Schizosaccharomyces pombe: one gene and its partners. The gene in region 3 interacts genetically with the main gene of each other region. Each region holds a gene or a part of one and is shown on either strand. Other genes may lie near its edges.

Evidence for each region.
Region 1: of asp1 (region 3) and pkl1, extra expression of one impairs growth in a mutant of the other (dosage growth defect), as found in Schizosaccharomyces pombe (one study listed by BioGRID).
Region 2: of asp1 (region 3) and spn1, changing one suppresses a phenotype caused by changing the other (phenotypic suppression), as found in Schizosaccharomyces pombe (one study listed by BioGRID).

The regions. Positions count from the first base shown.
Region 1 is NC_003424.3:3,437,229-3,440,987, forward strand, and holds the start of pkl1 (kinesin-14 family minus-end directed microtubule motor Pkl1), read left to right. Parts: upstream 1-1,661; 5' UTR 1,662-1,704; coding exon 1,705-1,716; intron 1,717-1,754; exon of another isoform or gene 1,755-1,758; coding exon 1,759-2,392; intron 2,393-2,445; coding exon 2,446-3,759. Other genes in the region: U5 snRNP-associated protein Aar2, read right to left, coding at 1-833.
Region 2 is NC_003424.3:4,851,283-4,855,041, forward strand, and holds the start of spn1 (mitotic septin Spn1), read left to right. Parts: upstream 1-1,757; 5' UTR 1,758-1,803; coding exon 1,804-1,983; exon of another isoform or gene 1,984-2,020; coding exon 2,021-2,617; intron 2,618-2,662; coding exon 2,663-3,295; 3' UTR 3,296-3,759. Other genes in the region: mannan polymerase complex subunit Mnn9, read right to left, coding at 1-39. UniProt on the Schizosaccharomyces pombe protein: Plays a role in the cell cycle. Involved in a late stage of septum formation leading to the separation of the daughter cells.
Region 3 is NC_003421.2:572,687-576,445, reverse strand, and holds the start of asp1 (inositol hexakisphosphate kinase/inositol pyrophosphate synthase), read left to right. Parts: upstream 1-1,873; 5' UTR 1,874-1,973; coding exon 1,974-3,759. Other genes in the region: U3 snoRNP-associated protein Utp21, read right to left, coding at 1-774, 834-909.

The DNA of each region.
Region 1 (3,759 bases), on a different chromosome or scaffold from region 3:
CTTTCACTTAGACTATCAAGGCAAGATAGTAAAACGCCTTTCTCAAAAATGGCAGACGTTTCTAAGTCGGATTCACTTAGTGAGCTAAGCTGAAGTTTGAAAAGCTCCAAAAAGGAAGCGTAAAACTCTGGTTCAGTTTCCGCCAATTCATAAGACTGCAATAGCAAACTCAACATATTCTTCCAATGCTCCAAAGCACCATAGTGGGAGAGAATAGAGTAGCTCAGAAAGGAAATTGATAATTCCGCTAATGCAGAGATGGGATTGTCATTCCACACGCTTTGGACGAGTCTTTGAAACAAAAACGATTTATCAATTGCTTGCTTAGACCGTTCAGGTCCAGTGGCAGACGGCGACCAGCTTCGTCGTAAATTGAATTCAGCGAAATTTAATAGTTTATCGTCTCGAGAGGGTTTTGAGAATTCCGGATCTTGTGACACAAGATCAGCGTTGACATACGTTGAAGTGTCTAAGTAGAAAAATTCACCTTCAGTAGCAAAAATTCTTTGAAGATCTTGAACTGTAATGAACTTCGTCAACAAGTCCCAATCCTTTGTTGATTCAAAGGGATAAAAGTTTTCGTCATATAATACATCAAGCTTCTGCAAAGAAGCTGTTTCAGATTTCGAATCAAAGTCGATACTATATTTCATATCTTCATGGACCATAGCAAAAACTCCAGAAATTAATCCAGCAGGGTATGTTGGAGACCAAGTGAAAAGATGAATTCCACCTTTTACATTTCGAATACCTGGAAGCTTACTAGCTTCATATGAACTCTGATCAATGCCAACGTAATATGTATTTAACCATCCGACAAACTCTATACTCATTATATACAAAACAAATTATTCCATATCTTCATTTATTTTGTCTATTAAGTTGAATTTAAGATCGTAGACATTGGTCAAAGCTAAGTTTCAGGCTACTGATTTAAGAGTTATAGCGATGGATATTATAAAAAACACCATAATACATTAAAGGTTTTTGGGTGTCAGCAATTCTACACTACGCTATAATATACATCGTTTCGTATCACTAAATATCGCCTGCTAGAATAGTAGTTAAGATCTATTTATTCATAGTTACGGATAAAATTCCATCTATCTAAATATATTCCAATTGATATAAATTAATCGAGACATTTTAAATAAAGCTACAACTGAACCTCGCTCCTTTAGTTTAGTCGTTAGCTAGATCGCTGACTGGACACTATTAGACTTCTTTAAAGTAATAAAAGTAACAATTGTTAGTTAAACGTACAACCTACCGCTACATGGCAAATCGTAATATAAGCTCACCGAAATTTTAGGTAGTGTTACACATTTCCGCGGACTTTGTAATTCACTTAAAGACACGTAAGGATACACTGAATTTGTTTGAGATATTCCAAAAATCAATCAGGGAATGTGGAATTACATAATATAAATAATATTACTTAAGTACTATTTGTTAATGGAATCAATTGTATTCTATACACCATTGATTAATAACATAGATGGATATACACGAGAGGCTTGAGACATATAATGATGCGTAGCATTGGAATTTGCTTAACAATTTAACACTCATATTTAACCCACGTAAAATAGTTTTACGTTTCTTAAAGCATCTGCTAATCAAAATCTGTTTTGTCGAGCTGATAAATTCGTGTTTATAGTATTGGGAAGAATTACTCTATAAAACGCTCTTTTTAACTTATAGATGGTAATTGAGGTAAGAGGTACTTCTGAGTAACTTATCTTATTAATGCGAAAGAATACAAAGGACATTTCCATAAACACAGGGTATAAACGACAGGAAGATGCTTTAAACACAGATTCTGAGGACTTAATATATCGACCAAAAAAAATTATTAAAACAAATCAAGAGGATGCAGTACATGATTTGAAATACGAAAATTTCGTATCAAAAAATCACGTTTTACAAAGCGACATTAATGGCAAGAAGAGGGACAGCAATCGAGACAAGGCCGCTGTAGTCACAGCGCCAATTGCTTCTACTCATGAATCTAATTACGAAGAATCTGTTTCCAAATTTAAAGAGAGTTGGCTGCCTCAATTAAAAGATCTCATTGAATCTCATAAAACAATATGCGAATCAACGTTAGCCTACGAGAGTGATCAAGCTATGGCTTCTTCTAATACATTAAAGAGAATAAAAGATTTAAAAAGCAAACCAAAAAATATTATACAGTTAGAAAGGTTGCATATGCTATCTAATGGCGAACATCGTTTATTATCGAAAGACGAAACCGATGATATTGAGTCTGCATACTTGAACCTTAGATCACATCTTCAGGTACAAGAACAGGTTTACGCTGAAAAGGATCATGAATATTCGTTACAACTTCAATCATACAGAGAGGCAGCAGAAAAGGCCAAGCAAGATAGTAAGAATACATGTCTTTATGCTGACTTTATTTGATTACTAACTATTTTAAAGTTTTAGAAACAAAAGAAAATCTTTCCTCTGAATTATCGATATCGAATATCCAGTTGAAGGAAGCCAAGGAAAGGTTAGAAGCTGCGAATGCAAGCTACCAAAAGCTACGTCGAGAACACAAAGAACTTGCACTTTATCATGAAAAGAAAACACATTCTCTAGTTTGTAATCTAAATGGTGAACGAAAATCCTTTGGGGATTTTGTTGAGAACGAAGTAAAGTCATATAAACATGAATATGCCAATATTTGTGAATCACTTCGGAGAGCTCTAGTGCTGATACAAGGTTCTTGTACTGAGAAAATTTTGCGTTTTAAAGAAAAAATTCTGGACTTATTAGAAATGAAACAACAAGAAGAAAATGATCGAATATCCCACATTGAATATGAGAATGATTTAACGGTTAAAAAGCTTAAAAGGAGAATATCTGAGTTGGAAATGGCAGTAAAAGAATATGAATCGGAAAAATCATACTCGGAAAAAGAATATGAAGAAAAAATCTCCTCTCTGCGTATAGAATTAGAAGACAAGTTAGCTGAAATTGACATGCTTCGAAATAAACTGTTAAAGGAAGAGCATAAACACCACTCTACATCTGAAAAACTTGAAGAACTTTCTAAATATGTTGCAAGTATTCAAGATAAAGAAAGAAATAATGGCCAGAACGCATTGGAACTACAAGCTCGAATCCAACAGCTGGAACGGAGAAATGAAGATATGTATAATAAACTGTTAGCAGAAGAAATAATCAGACGAAAGCTGCATAACGACATTCAAGAACTAAAGGGAAATATTCGAGTTTTTTGTAGGGTTAGACCACTACTCCCAAGTGAAGAATCCGAATATTGCATTGCTGATGTTTTACAATTTCCAGATAAAGACGCACTAGAGCCACAAAAACTTATTCTTAAAGGGCCTAATGTTGAATCATCACTCGGGCATACTTATGATCGTAATTATGAATTTTCCTTTGATCGAGTCTTTGCTCCTGAAAGCGATAACTCGTCCGTTTTTGAGGAAATATCACAGTTAATTCAAAGCGCTATTGATGGTTATAATGTTAGTATATTTGCATATGGACAAACAGGATCGGGTAAGACGTACACAATGTCGTCACAAGACGGTATGATAGCGATGTCAATTAAGCATATATTTAATTATCTATCAACCTTGAGGGAGAAAGGGTGGGTGTATAAATTGAGAGGTCAGTTTTTGGAAATTTACAATGAAACGATTTATGATCTATTAAACAAAGCGGAAATGTTGAAAAATCCTAAGCACGATATTCATCATGATGAAAAGGAAAGACGAACAA
Region 2 (3,759 bases), on a different chromosome or scaffold from region 3:
GAGCTGCCCTACAATTCTAGATTTATTGTACACGCGCATCTTAAAGTTTATAAATAAAAATGGAAGGGCACAATTTAATAAGAGTAATAAAAATAGAGAGTTAAAAATTAAAATCAACCCGAATCTGGATGTTGTTTTGTGGGTCTAAACAGAATCGAGTTCTTAAATAATTATGCGAATTCCTTAAAAAAGCAACGGCTAACAGCTGTAGTCGCGAAAGTAACACCTTATATATATAAATGTATTTCAACTAGTGAATACCCCGTTAATAAATACTTAAGATAATTTAAGCATTAATACAAACAAAGGATTATGTCGTACGTTCACGAATCAAGCTTGTACAGGTTTTGCCCCTATCGAGTAAAAACAAAGCCAAAGAAAGAAGTATTAAAAACGCTTTTTCGAGTAAAAGAAACTGTTTTTAAAATAAAAAATTTCCTCCAATAAACCCAGAATTTGAGTGTTTTCTTATATATTGGTTCGATTCCGCCGCCAGAGAACGCCTTTGTCCAGTATAATGTGTGGCTCTGGTTACGTCGAAAAGGAGGTGAATACCAGTTACCTTGATCCCATCTGTATTCATAACAACTAGAATTAATAGCGTAGTCACGCAAGATTTCGTTATTAAATTCAATTATAGATATTTCGATTTCTTAATATAAGACACGTACTTCTATATTGTGTTGATTAACGTCTTTTCACATTAATTTTTGACATATTATATTCATAGTTTTAACGACGACATACTGGGATTGCTTGCGTACCTTTACTGGAGTTATTCTTTCTCTGATACCAGCCACACAACACCGCGTTAAGTCATTCCGTGCTTTGATAGCAAGAAGAGCTGAAATAGCTAGAAGGAAAACAAAACAATGATTGACTATTAAATGCCTTTATTCAATTGAGTTTTAGAGCTTATACTGCAATTCGGAGACTGTAAACGCTGTTATAAAGACTAATATAATCGTTATTTAATTAGTAAAAATGATCCTATTATGTTAAATTTTTTTTTAACATTTTATTATTTATAATAAGTTCAAATTTATCTTAAAAGTCCTTTAAGATCAAAAATATACGGTAAACAAGCTTCTAATGTTTTAGTTTGATCTTACTTTTTCGTAGGAAAAGAAATATAGATATTTGTTTCTGAATCATCTATTAGCATGAAAATGTTGGCCAGGCAATAATTTCTAACTGTGTTTTATGTCTAATAATTAAATCTTTAAAATCGTTGAGGGTCACATTGTCGACGTACAAGTTCAATTGAATAAATAATCAGTTGTGCAATAAATTGGATTTGCATTAATGCTCAATTCAACGACTACTGCCCAAGGTTCTATATTAATAGAAAAATAAATATTTTAAATTAAATTCAAAAGATTTAGATGATTGCATGCTGAAAGGGTATTCAAACAAATAATTTAGGTATAAATAAAAGGTCAAAAAATGTTTTTAAACAAATACAGATAATGGATAATTTTAATTCATTAGATTTATCCAATTGTTAAAAAAAATAATTGTAAAATTAACAAGACAACTAAAACAATGGAATAACAATGTTTAGTATCTTTTTATTTAATGCATCCCAGCCGTGTATATTTCGAGGTTAAGGACCTAAATTCGACGCGACAGTGAATTAAGAAATTTCAAAAAAGCTCTATAATTTCGTGAAACATAATTAAGAAAAAAATTGGTTAAGTTTAATTTCCTACTTGAGCAAATAGATGTTCATGCTCGAGCTCCTAGCTACACTCTTCATCACATACATAACCACCAACACGGGGGTTTTCGATAATTTCTGACATGGCGTCAATGGTACTCGCGGATGGTATGCCTACAGTTAAAGATGATTCCACTAGAAGCAGGGGTTCCGACGTTGATTCTTTCACATCTACAGATAATGTAACGCAAATAAATGTTGAGGCAGCCATTTCAGAAAACAAGAATGAAGAAAAACCCATTCAGGATAATTCTGAACAAGAGGTAATCAATTATTTAAAATTCCTTTACTAATATTTAGTTCAATCCGCACGTTAGTATAATCCAGCGTCAGTTGAACGGATACGTTGGATTCGCTAGTCTTCCTAATCAATGGCATCGTCGTTGTGTTCGTCAAGGTTTTAATTTCAACGTATTAGTATTAGGGGAAAGCGGTTCAGGGAAATCTACACTTGTGAATACGCTATTGAATAGAGATGTTTACCCACCGACCCAGAAATCTTTAACTGGGGATTTTGGAGTGAACCCAGAACCCACTGTTATGATCAACTCTTCTGCAGTTGAAATAGTGGAAAATGGTATCAGTCTTCAATTAAATGTAATTGATACACCCGGTTTTGGCGATTTTATTGACAACACCGATTGTTGGCAACCAGTTTTGACAGATATCGAGGGTCGCTATGATCAATATCTTGAGCTTGAAAAGCACAATCCTCGATCTACTATTCAAGATCCAAGAGTTCATGCTTGTATATTTTTTATTCAGCCTACTGGTCATGCTATAAGTGCTATGGAGCTTCGAGTTATGTTGGCTTTGCACGAGAAAGTAAATATTATACCCATCATTGCGAAAGCCGATACACTAACGGATGATGAACTTAACTTTACGAAGGAAATGGTAAGCCCTAATCTTGATTTAAAGTTGCTAATGAAAAAATGATAGATTTTGAGAGATATCCAATACCACAATATCAGAATTTTCTTCCCTCCGACATATGAGACCGATGATCCTGAATCAGTGGCAGAAAATGCAGACATCATGAGTAGAATACCTTTTGCTATAATTGCTTCTAATACATTCGTGGTCAACAATGAAGGAAAGCGCGTCCGCGGGAGGCGGTACCCATGGGGCGTTGTTGAAGTCGATAATGAAGAGCATTCTGATTTCCCTAAGCTTCGTGAAATGCTTATTCGAACACACTTAGAAGAACTCAAAGAACAGACAAATAAGCTGTATGAAGCGTATCGTACTGAACGGTTGCTTAGCAGCGGAATATCACAAGATCACTCCGTTTTTCGTGAAGTCAACCCTAGTGCTAAACTCGAAGAGGAGCGTGCCTTACACGAAGAGAAATTGATGAAAATGGAAGCAGAAATGAAAACCATTTTTTCTCAGAAGGTTCAAGAAAAAGAAGATCGTCTTAAACAATCTGAAAACGAGTTACGTACCCGTCATCGCGAAATGAAGGCAGCATTGGAGAAGCAAAAAGCTGACTTAATTGATCACAAAAATCGGTTAATGCAAGCTAAAGCTGCGGCCGAAAATGAGAAGAGTAAAAGGAAGTTTTTTAAATAGTCTCCTTACTAGCTGATATTTATTTGTATGACACCGCAGTTCTACTGCTATCTCCTTCTTTGTTATTTAATTACTACTTAAAGTCCAATATTGGGCTGTATATCTTTCCTTGATTATTCTACCATATGGAGTCGTTAATTTTTATCGAAATTTTCTTTTTTAGGAGGTTCACTAATTGACATTTTGCTTGAACAAACAAATTGAAACAGCCGGCTTATCTCTATTCAACCCGTTAAAGTGGGAGTTTGCTTCTTTTATTGCCAGTGTATTTTTCAATCTATCGAAAAATATCTATTTTCCAGTCAGTGGGGGTATTTAGACAGCTAGATTTCAGTTGAAAGAGTCGAAAAAATTTTGATGCATATATTATTAGAAGAGATTTGCTTGCGACGTCGTTTTTAGACTTTAGTTTTTGCATAATTTTTGTTCGGTTAAACGAAAAACACTGTTGCAATTGATACCTT
Region 3 (3,759 bases):
TAACATTTTGAATTCTTCGCTTTGAAAGATCCCAAAAAGAAAGGTCACCAATGGGGTTGGAAGAAGCTAATATTGGTGTCCCATCAGTACGGAATGAACATGAAAGAACTTGGCCATCTTGTTTGAATTCCATGAGTATTGAACCATTTTTAAGATTAAAGATTACAATACGACCACTAATAGTACCAACAGCTAAAACATCGAGGACAGGGGCTTGTGTTAAACTAGTGATTCCATCACCAAAAAATTCCTGAAATTCATGTACACGTTTAGAAACACGCAAATTCCAAATCTGTAATGCTCCATCTGAGAATCCTAGCAGTATTTTGTTCAAATAAGTGCTTGGATGTAGTAAACTAGTGATATCTGCATTGGTATTAGGAAGAAATGTAGTATGAAGCTCAGGAACACTATATTTAGAAGCGTGTTTCCATACATAAACATGACGAGAAGATGTACAAGCAATAATCCACTCACCAAAAGCATCTAAATGAGTGACTGTTCCATGTTCTTGCTCCACATCAATGTCCCATATTATTTTACCACGTTTATATGCAAAAATTTTTGATCCGGCAGCTACAAGCATGAAATCTTTAAAGGATTTTAAACAAGTAATTTCCTTGTCTAATTGCTTGCCAACGAAAAGCAAATTCAACTTTTCGCAGTCATATGTTTGAAATGTGTTTCCCACCGACGTTGTTACCAAAAAATGGGTTCCACGAGCCTCAATGTCGAAAGGTACTGCATTGGAAACGTGACCGATGGATCTAAAGGCTAAAAATACAGTTAGCAATCTGTTCATTCCAAAAGAAAAAGAGAGAATTTTGACTTACGAGCATAGATCCTAGATTTTCTTAGAGGCTTCACCGCATTTTCATAAGTCCTCCGTTTCTTCTCTGCAAATGGCATTTTATCACAGGAAAGAACACAAATAGCACGTAAAATGGCAAAGGATGGCTCTTGTCCTGTAACTTGCAAAAAGCAGTGTTTGTGAAATTCTAGCAACCCTTTACGACCTACAGTAATAATCGTTAATTTACGACAGTGTATTTACTGAAATCGATAAATGTGTTTAACGATATGGTCAATCCGTCATATATCAATTTTCGGTAATTATAAATAAGAATCGTTCTGCTATTGTTCCGTTTATTTAAGTAAACAAATTATTTATTATTAAAAAAAAAAGAGAACTAAACATTGATGTCTAATGTTATTGTAAGATTTAATCGTAAAAACATGTTAGCAAAACTTCTACATTCTCTTCAGAATACCTAAAGAACTCTATTCACATATATCAAAAAGTGGTAAGGTAAATCTATGATTGTTGGAATTCTGGGCTTGTAAATAATGAAATAAATTTCAGTAAATTCTTAAAAAATATTTTTCTTTATGTAAAAGGTGCGAGAACAATATACTCTTGAACCCAGCTAGTAGAAGTAATTTTTTAATGTTTGTTGCTTGTAAAATTTAAACATTCCAGTCCACGTGTTTTCGCACGGACGAAAAGTAAAAACCTATTAAACAAAAATTTTTTCTAATTCTTTTTTAATTTAATATTGATGGATTTTACAAGCTTTTACTAAACTGGAAGAATACGTTTTTGAAAGAAGAATAACAGAAACTGGGCTTGGTTAAAAAAATTTTTATGAAAACCCAAATTAACTAACCCAGTATAATTAGTAAAAAAGTTATTCATAGAAGCATTACTGCGAAACAAATTCAATATTCACTGTCCACTTCATTTAAGCAACAATTTCTTATTTATTTACATTTCGTTAGGTAAACAAATGTTACCTCGCTGAATTGTAAGGTTAACCGTACAAGTAACATTGATCGACTAGGTGTGTACTAACACCGTGTACCTACATCTCTCATAACCAAACAAGTGAGGGAATTGGCCATTGAAAGAATACAAGTGGGAAAAAGGTGTTTTAAGCGTTATTAAATATTTTAACGTAGTTGAATAATAAAGGATGATTCAAAATGCAAGTCATCTTACATCTATCGACACAGAGTCATCTACCAGAACGGCGTCGCCTGTTTCCTCAATCGTTACACCTACTAAACGAAATGTAGTTGGAATCTGTGCCATGGATGCCAAAGCTCGCTCAAAACCATGTCGGAATATTCTGAACAGAATCATCGCAGAAGGTGAGTTTGAAGCCATAGTATTCGGTGACAACATGATTTTGGACGAAGCTGTGGAAAATTGGCCTGCTTGTGATTATTTGATATGTTTCTACTCTAGTGGATTTCCATTGAAGAAAGCTGAAAAGTATGTCGAGTTGCGTAAACCTTTTTGTGTAAACGATGTAGTATTCCAAGAGTTGCTTTGGGATAGACGGCTTGTGTTGAACATCCTTGATGCCATACGTGTTTCCACCCCTCAGCGTTTGATTTGCTCTCGTGATGGAGGTCCTAAAATTAATAAAGTCCTAGAAGAAAAGTTGCGTCGAAAGTTTGGAATAGAAATCACAGAGGTTCCTACCCCAGAAGTAAAAATGTTGGACGAAGATACTCTTTCTGTTGATGGCAAGATAATAAAGAAGCCGTACGTTGAAAAACCAGTCTATGGTGAAGATCACAATATTTATATTTATTTCCCTAAATCCGTTGGTGGGGGAGGTCGCAAATTATTTCGTAAAGTCGCAAATAAGTCTTCAGATTATGATCCAGATCTTTGTGCTCCACGCACTGAAGGATCTTTTATTTACGAGGAATTCATGAATGTCGATAACGCGGAAGACGTAAAGGTTTATACCGTGGGTCCTCATTACAGCCATGCAGAAACCCGCAAATCACCCGTAGTGGACGGAATTGTGAGAAGGAATCCACATGGTAAGGAAATTAGGTTTATCACCAATCTTTCAGAGGAAGAAAAAAATATGGCCTCTAAGATATCAATTGCGTTTGAGCAACCTGTTTGTGGATTTGATCTTCTTCGTGTCTCAGGTCAGTCGTATGTGATTGATGTGAATGGATGGTCCTTCGTCAAGGATAACAACGATTATTATGATAATGCTGCTCGAATTTTGAAACAAATGTTTCATGTTGCCGAACGTCATAGACGGAATCGTGTACCTTCAGTCCAAGAAGTTTTAAATCCTCCGCCTAGAGAAAGTGAGGCATGGAGACTTAAAAGTTTGGTCGGAGTCCTGCGTCACGCGGATCGTACACCTAAACAAAAGTTTAAGTTTTCATTTACATCTGATCCATTTGTAAAATTATTGCAAGGTCATACCGAGGAAGTTATTTTAAGAAACGAACAACTCAATTCTGTTTTGGCAGCTACCAACCTTGCTACAGAACTCAAATGCGAAGATATCAACAAGTTAAAACAGTTACGCTTAGCTTTGGAAACGAAGAAAGACTTACCGGGGACAAAAGTGCAACTTAAACCGGCTTATTCCCCAGAGGGAAAGCTTTTGAAACTGCAGCTAATTATCAAATGGGGTGGTGAATTTACTCATTCCGCGAGATACCAATCTAAGGATTTAGGAGAGCAGTTTCATAAGGACCTGTATATTATGAATCGTGATTGCCTGAAAGATGTCGAAATATACACATCTTCTGAAAGACGTGTCTCTGCTTCTGCTGAAATTTTTGCAATGGCCTTTTTGGAGCAAGAAACTATTCCTAGCGACTTACTCAAAGTTCGCAAAGATCTGTTAGATGATTCTAATGCTGCCAAGGATACTATGGATAAGGTTAAGAAACACTTGAAATCATTATTAAGAGTTGGAGATACGGCTAGAAAGG